Linked DNA regions of Nothobranchius furzeri. The protein of the gene in region 2 interacts with the protein of the main gene of each other region in a pairwise test. Links are inferred from orthologs where the notes say so. Each region holds a gene or a part of one and is shown on either strand. Other genes may lie near its edges. The genes, in order: lats2 and map3k5.

Region 1 (4,249 bases), on a different chromosome or scaffold from region 2:
ACTTCCATAATGTCCCTTTAAGGTTAGCCTAGCTTAGGAATCGACAACCTGAGGCTGCTTGGATCTTCTACAATGGCTCTTCGCTCTGGATAACATTACTTTAAAAACTTAGTTTTAAACATAGATAGAATAAAAAAAAATTCAAATTTAAGCAGCTTTTGATTTTGTTCATGTTTAAATTGAACAGAATGACACTAAAAACACCACTCTCATATCTGTTGTTTACTTTTTTTACATCATTCTCCAAAAATATCAACAACCCATTGAAAATAATATATTTTCTCTTTTTGCAGACACTCACATTCAATATATACAGAAGAGATTAATACGATTTTAGACTTCTATCTCAGAAATCAGAGAAATAAATCTTTAGTGGCCCTGGTCTTCGTCTGTAGATGAATTAATACCTTCTTTGTTTAGAAGGTTTATCCTGGTGGACCGAGGGGAGTTGTACACAGTCGACAGGAACAAACGGGGACAAACACCCAGCAGCGCTGTCCTACAGACAGACCAGCGACAGAGGAAGAGGAGGTGGAGGAGAGGCGACGTGTTGGGTGGAGACTGGACTGCAGCAGAAGGAACTGGTCCGCCCTGCTGCCATTGAATGTTCTTTTCCTGTTTGTATTGACTGGACCCGCCTTGCTCTGGTCCGTTCACAATGGTGCAGAAAGAGGTCACCGCTGCAGCAGGAAGTGGAGCCTGCGAGCGTTTCAGATTCATTTCAAACATATAACCGAAACTGACCCTGATGCTCAGATTGGTTTTCAGGACAGCAGCATTTACCTTCCCCTGACTTCTGTAAAGGTCGGTGGAAATAAAATGTATGCTGACACTAATGTTTAACTACCTCTTAGAGAAAGAGCTGATTACCAAGACTGCTTTTGTCCCCTGATCCTCCAACGCGGCACCTCATGGTTCCAGATGTGGAAACAAGATGCAGCGCAAACACTGGGTCTTTGTGGCAAGCTGAAATCAGTTTGTAGGCTCTCCTCCTCCTCAGCGCCGTGCACGGGCTTGAGCGGAGCATTCTTCACATTCCGCGCTCCATCACAGGGGTTTGAAACCACAAATGTCCCAGATCTTAACTGGACTAACAGGACAATCTGTGATTTAATCATCTGCTCTGGTCGGGCCCCAAACGTGCTCCAGGCGCTTCACTGTTACTTTAGTTCCCAGAGAGAAGATCCTGAGGAGATCTCAGAGGTTTCTAGTTGCTGTTCAGACCAGAAGTAGGAACTGGAGCTCGAACTGTGTGGCAATGATTTTAGACAATAACAGACATTTAAGCTGATGAAAGACTGGTCCTTATGGGGATGCCCGGTCTAATACAGGGAGTGATGAGCAGCAGCTAAAAGGTTTCACTCATGGGAAGTCTCCTGACTCTTCCGGGCCTGCTGGATATCCTGAAAGTGGGAAGAAGGGTGAAAAATCCCAAACATCCCGATTGAGAAACCCACCTGACATTTCAACACTGGAGCTTTTACTATGTAACCCAGTTACTACTTGGCAGGAGAGACTTGTATTGTGTCGTACCCAAAAGCACTAGGGTGTTTTATTTTCTAATTCCTGACTGAAGGAGGCGGAGTGGCTCCAGCAGAGGGAACAACATTCTGTTGTGAGAAGATGGCCACCCCGGAGCATTAATGGGACGTACTACCAATCATGCGATAACGGAAATTTAGATTTTAAAGACCTGCGCCCTCATTTATCAAGCTTGCTTACGCACAAAACGGGGTCGAAAAACTGCGTGAGCAGCTTTCCACGCAATCTTTGGGATTTATGAAAGAAAACTTAGTGGAAAAATGCACAACTTTAAGTTGACTAAGGACCTGGCTTACGCACATTTTGGACATGGAGAGCACCTGCAGTGCTGCTGCTGAGAAGGATAAAATTATCACTTGTACCGCTTCGTGCTCACACAGAACAAGCCTGTGCGTACTCCATGTTGTATCGGTCACAAACCTACTTGGCCTAAGTACGGTTTTAGTAAGGATTCTACGCAATGTTTGATAAACGAGACCCCTGACCATTATGACTTCTAAGTGGATCAACTCTGAAATAAACAGGTTACTCTTGTGCAGCTGGATGATGCAGAGATATAAAGTATCAGCAGCTTCCAGCTGCTCCAGACCAGTTCATGGAGAAAACATGGATGACTCTCGAAGAGCATCTGTGCTTGAGGTGCAGTCCTTTTTTCTGACTTCAACCTGTCACTTCTAAAACTCCAACCATGGTCAGAGTTTAAAGACACCTTTATCAACCACATCTTCCTTAGCATGAACAGTGAGGCTCACCTGATCACAGCCGGCGTTGACGAGCTCCTGCAGCATCTGCCGGTTCACCTCCTCAGCCTCTCCTGGCCCGTTGGCGAAGGGCATGAGGGACCTGCGGATTTCTCGCAGAGCGTTCTGGTAGTTGTTGAACTTCTGTGGCGGGCGGGGGTGCTGCTGCCGGCTGGTGGCGTCTTTCCCGCCCTTGGAGTCTGCGCTCCTGCTGCCCTCGGCCCGGGAGCCCCCCCCAAGCAGAGCCTGGCTCACCAGCTTGGCCGGCTGCTTCAGGCCCTCCTTAATCTCCTGAAGCCGCTGCCGCGTGTTGCCCACATACGGGGCAGCTGGGAAAGTCTTGGGCCTCATTGCCAGAGTGCCCAGGGCAGGCACCTACTCTAAAAGGGAGAAGCTGCACTCACCCAACTACACCCTCAAAAGCACCACCTCCAAGTGTGACCTAGATAGTCTCCAGGACAACAGATCAGAGGCAGCGATGGAAGGGACCTCCTCAGTTGTTTGTGTCTCACTTTGTGTTTCTAATTCCTGGCGGGGTGGACGGACGAGAGGCGAAGCGGGATACTACAAGCATTCCATGGTGTGGCTTTCAAAGCTCAGGTTCCAGCTTATTCCAGGAAACGCAGCTGAACATGTGGGTCCTGCAGAGCCAAACCATGATGATGCCAATCTGCTCCTGTGGAGGGGAAGATCACGTTAGAACGTCGTCATTACCATCTGACCTTTCTCATCACCAATGCAAAAGGAGCAGAATCCATCTCAACCACAAGAATGTGGTGCTTAGACTGGGAGTCAGTTGTAGCTGTGGGACGGAGATCATAACAGGAGATTAAAGGAGGCAACCCTCAAACGTTCCACTCAAATGTAAGGAGAAAGAACGGGAATTTGAAGCATGTTGCCAGTGGTCACCAAATGTCACAGCTTCTTCCTGGTACCAGTTTGAGACTATTATTACCTGGAAGCCAGGGAGTCAAATTCAGAACCTACAGTGAATAACCTCAAGAACGTCGGTGCTCATAAAACCCGACCGCAGCTGCAGCGGCTGCATACTTCAGCAGTGTGGTCATCCGTGAACACCCCTCTGAGAGCACGCCGCTCCAGCACGGCCCACCCCGCATCAGCCCCTCTGCCGATCAGACGCTTCACACCCCTCGGCCGGCAGTCTGATCCCGAGGAGCGTGCTCCACATTCTGCCACGACAGCGTTACTCCTCCAGGGCAGCTGGGGTGACATGTGGAAAATGTGCACATGTTCCTGTCAGGAGGCTCACATGACGATCCAAGAGGAGCCTTTATCCAAAGAGTCAAAGAGGGAGTTTTCACTGTCCAGCGACTCAATTCTCACAATGTTTTCGCTTTAATGAATGACACAGATTGAGTATTTCCACAGAATTATGTCAGAGTTCTCCACTCCTGGTCCCAGAGAGCCCCTATCCAGCATGTTTTAGTCATTTCCTGCTCCAACACACCTGATTCAGCAGGTCATCGAGCTCTAACAAGCCTGGAAATTGCCCACTGAGCAGAGAAACCGCTGGAATCTGCTGGATGGGGCCCCTGGGGGACCAGGACTGGACAACTGTGGATAAAAATATTTCAGTCTGTAGACAATAAAGAAACTCCATGTAGTGAGAATGCACCTCTAGAAAACATGTCCATCATGAGTTTTATAATAATATCAACCACACGACTCAGAGCTGTGGAGGACACACCCACCCGCCTCCTCCTTGGCCCTCTCCATCCCTTTAGGCCATTTCTAGGAAAGACACAGTCCCTTCTGTTTGGACAAATATGTTTTTTATTTTAAATATAGCTGGGCAGCGGGGTAATGTTGGGCCAAGCTGAGGAGAAAACAAATCCCCATCTCTGGGATCCGTCGTCTCCATTCCTGTGATGCTTTGAGTTCCGCGTCGGAGCGATGAAAATTCCATTCCACGAGCAACTAGGAGTAAAACACCACCACTGAATCAT
Region 2 (3,814 bases):
ATGGCTCGTAATTCGTAAATCTGTTCAAAAACAAAATTTTCTGCTGTTTTGTATCATTTTTACATTAGAAAATCCACTGTTAAAGACTTCTCAGACCTTAATCTGAAATAAACCTGCTTTGGCCTTTATACTGACAACTGGTTTAGTGTTTCACAGTCGTGAGGCTATGCGTGAAACTCGTCTGCAGCAAGCAGCAGCCACGACTCTGTCCATTTCAAGTGTTCTACCTGAGAAAGAGGGACCTGGGCCCCTTGACATCCCTCTCGCTGTAGCACTTGACGCTGGGCTTGAAGATGAATGGGTTGGTGTTGAGGTCGTTGTCAGGGGAGACGGAGCCATACTCGCTGCTGCTGCTGGTGTCCTCCACCACCACCGGCACCGGCAGGGAGATGCTACGGAGGTACTCTGAGCAGAAGGGTTTCCACCACACATACACGCACACGCACACGCACACGCACACACACACACACACACACACACACACACACACACACACACACACACACACACACACACACACACGCACACGCACAATAATTCTAACCTGAGGTAGACAATGTTTCTCACTAAAGCAAACTACTCTGAGTTTGTGTTTAAGGTGAAGAGCTTTATTATTTTATTGGGCAACAAATAAGAAGAATTGTCCTTGACTTATAAAAACAGAATATAAACACATCTATTTTGAGTTCTTTGACAAAAAAGAGGTCTGTGAAGTGTAGAGGAGTTTGTAAAATTGAAGTTTAATTTACAAAGTCCATCAAGTAGTGGTAGAAATGTCTGAAAAACATGTTCAGAGGGCTGAGTTACTCACCTGCACCCGAGGAAGGAGCTGCAAGGAGAAAAAAAACCAAGAGTCAGCAGTTTTTTGAGAGAAAAACAACAGGATTTACATGTACGATTGGCAGGATAACGTTTCCGAGCAAGCAGCTTGCAGTGCACTGGTGCCGGAGCACATGATTGCATCAGCGCTGCGGGGTGCAAACCCCATGAGGAGCATGCTCACATGTTACGAAAAACAGGAAGGATGTGGCTTCAGTCTTTTAAAAGCTGTGTGATAAAATAATTAGTCCAGACTGACGAGGAGTTCACAAGTGAACCATTACTAATTATTATTTTTTGGAATTAAAGCTGCAAAACTTCTAGTAATTTCATTATTATGCATTAATGATGTTTTAGTGCTTTAAGTAAAAAACTAGTTTCAGAGCTTTAAAGATTAAACTTAAAAGCACAATGAAACTGATAAGCTGAGAGCTGTGGCTCAAACGGGAGGGAAATTAGTATTTGAACTTGCCTCCCCACTTATAAAACGATCCATCAAGCTAGTTTGCTGTTATTTAAGTGATACGTGGTGGTTTTCAGGTGCAGAATGCAGATTGTGTTTTTTCTTTAAATACCATTTCTGCAAACTTTTAACTCCAAGCTAAATGTTAGCTTTGCGCTAAGACGTTTTAGCCTAGTCCACAAGATCCCCCCTATCCAGCATGTTTTAGTTGTTTCCCTGCTCCAACACACTTGATTTTAATCAGCAGATTATCAGGCTTGTACAGATCTTCATGACCTGCTGAACACCTGATGCAACGGTTGAATCGGGTGTGTTGGGGTAGAGAAGCAACTCAAACATGCTGGATAGTGGACCTGGAGAACAAAGAGTGGAGAGCCTTGCTCCAAACTAACAAGTGCGTTTCCACTGTCGGAACTTCAGGATAAATTTACAGGAACTTTCCAGCATGTGCGTGTCTCCACTTAACGGACATTTTCAGGCACGTCCAAAGTATCGTCAGAAGCTTTTCCGGTTCGCGCCTCACTTTTTTTTTTACAGTAGCGGCCCAAAAAGATCTCCTAACACATGGGTTTTCTGCTTCCTGATCACGTGACGTGTGACGTACGTGGATGAAGATCTGCTTTAGAGCTTGGATGTTCGTTCTCACGGTGCGGGGGCTCGTTCCGACACCCACACAGTAAAAAAAAATAATAAAAATGCAAATGACGACTTAAGTCATTGGCAGTGAAAGAGTTAACTGTGGATGCTTTGTGGCGCTGATCAGTGACGTCACTTCCTGCCGAAGCAGTCACAATATGCTGTCGTATCTCACGGTAAATTTCCCCATCCAGAATTTCCCCTGAAGTTCCAACAATGGAAAAGCGCCTGATGGTGCAAATAAAGTTGATTGCTGTGGCGAAGTTATCGCCCCTTTTTAACTGCATGGCTGCCATGTTGGATTTTGTGGGCAGGGCTGGTGAGGAATCTAATGGGCTATTCCCATCTGTACCGGGTCGGCCCGGGCCGGGTAGCCCCAGTCGGCCCCAGCCTGGCCCGGTTGATTCCACACATCCTTGTCTTAAGCCCATGTGGTCTGATTCTACCCACCAATCAGAGGCTTGCTCTAATGGAAGGTGTGAATTTGCTGTCAGCAGTGGGTGTGTTGGCCCTGGTCGGCCTGAAGCAGACCCCCTCGAGAAGAGGGCTGAGAATGAGCCTTGGTTGGCCCGGAAAAATACCAGGCCACCCAGATATGTAAACAACCTACGCTACCCGGCCCGGGCCGACCCGGTACAGATGGGAATGGCCCATTACTTTGCGTTCAGGACAAGTTTCCAGGACTTTTTATCTCGAAGATGCTGGTAATTTCTGAACTGAACCCACCACTGAGGTTGCTCTTGCTCTTCTTCCTGCGGCTGGTCACGGTGAGGAACTCGTCCGTGAGCAGGTCGAAGGCGGTGGCGCGCCGATCTGGGTCGGGTTCGAAGCAGCGCAGAATAAAGGCTTTGGCTTCTGGTGACATTAACTCTGGGATTTCTGGGTGAATCTTAAACATTCCCACCTGCAAAATCCAATCAGAACAGACGTTCTAGTTGAAAAATGCAACAGCGTTCAAACAAGCAGCAGCAACTTGGACAAAGTTTGAGAAAAAAGAAATCTCCTGATTAAAGGAACAACAGACGTTCCTGTCACTAAGGCTAAGCTTTGTCGATTTAGGATTAAGACAATACCCCACCCTTAAGGACAGGAACATCGAGGCCCTTTTATTCAATAAGAGAACTCCGTGTTTCTTTCAAAGAACAGACATGGGATCTGTAACTGCACCCTGTACTGTCTGATCTTGGCTCTAACAGTGAGTGCAAGTCTTTCCCCGTTAAAGTCCTCTAAACAAAACATGCTTAGGGTACAATAATATACTTTCTTGTCTGAGTCCCAATCCTTTCATTAAATCATATGGAAAAATCCCATGTTTGGAAGCTTTGACGTGAACTCCATAATACGTTCCAGACGTCCCTTCACTCCTTTTTACCGCCTGTAATGGACCACATGTGGTTAAGAAGAGCCGTTTGCTGGTGTGGCGCTCTAAAAATTCCATCCACGGCATTCGTGCCACATAAACGGACAGGATAAATAATCCAAACAAAGACACTGTAAGGGTGGATCTCACCCGTGTTTGTGTTCAAACAAATGTTCGTGTGCGGACGGTATTAAGAGGCTCAGGTTGCAGCCCACAGGTGCAGGTGGACAATGGCTGATCCAGTTTTTAATATAAAACAGAGGCTTGGGGGAGAATAATATTTATGAGACTTTGTGAGATCACTATTATTCTGACTGACTGATTGCTAACAGTCAATTATTTTACAATGCTAAACTCCCATTCTGTTCCGCTCTGAACTTGACAGTTCTCCACACCTTCATCTCCTCACGCTTAGACTACTGTAACTCTCTTTTCACGTGTCTGAGCAGAACCTCCCTGAACCGTCTACAGGTGGTTCAGAATGCCTGTGCTCGGCTTCTGACCAAGTCCTCCAAACACACCCACATCACCCCGGT

What was found.
Region 1: the proteins of map3k5 (region 2) and lats2 come close enough for resonance energy transfer, tested with the Homo sapiens proteins (2 studies listed by BioGRID, with this or other methods). The link is inferred for Nothobranchius furzeri from reciprocal best matches to the Homo sapiens genes MAP3K5 and LATS2.

What each region holds. Positions count from the first base shown.
Region 1 is NC_091754.1:33,304,568-33,308,816, forward strand, and holds the start of lats2 (serine/threonine-protein kinase LATS2), read right to left. Parts: upstream 2,858-4,249; 5' UTR 2,634-2,857; coding exon 2,295-2,633; intron 1-2,294. UniProt on the Homo sapiens protein: Negative regulator of YAP1 in the Hippo signaling pathway that plays a pivotal role in organ size control and tumor suppression by restricting proliferation and promoting apoptosis.
Region 2 is NC_091742.1:11,446,976-11,450,789, forward strand, and holds part of map3k5 (mitogen-activated protein kinase kinase kinase 5), read right to left. Parts: intron 2,823-3,814; coding exon 2,645-2,822; intron 830-2,644; coding exon 812-829; intron 406-811; coding exon 228-405; intron 1-227. UniProt on the Homo sapiens protein: Serine/threonine kinase which acts as an essential component of the MAP kinase signal transduction pathway. Plays an important role in the cascades of cellular responses evoked by changes in the environment.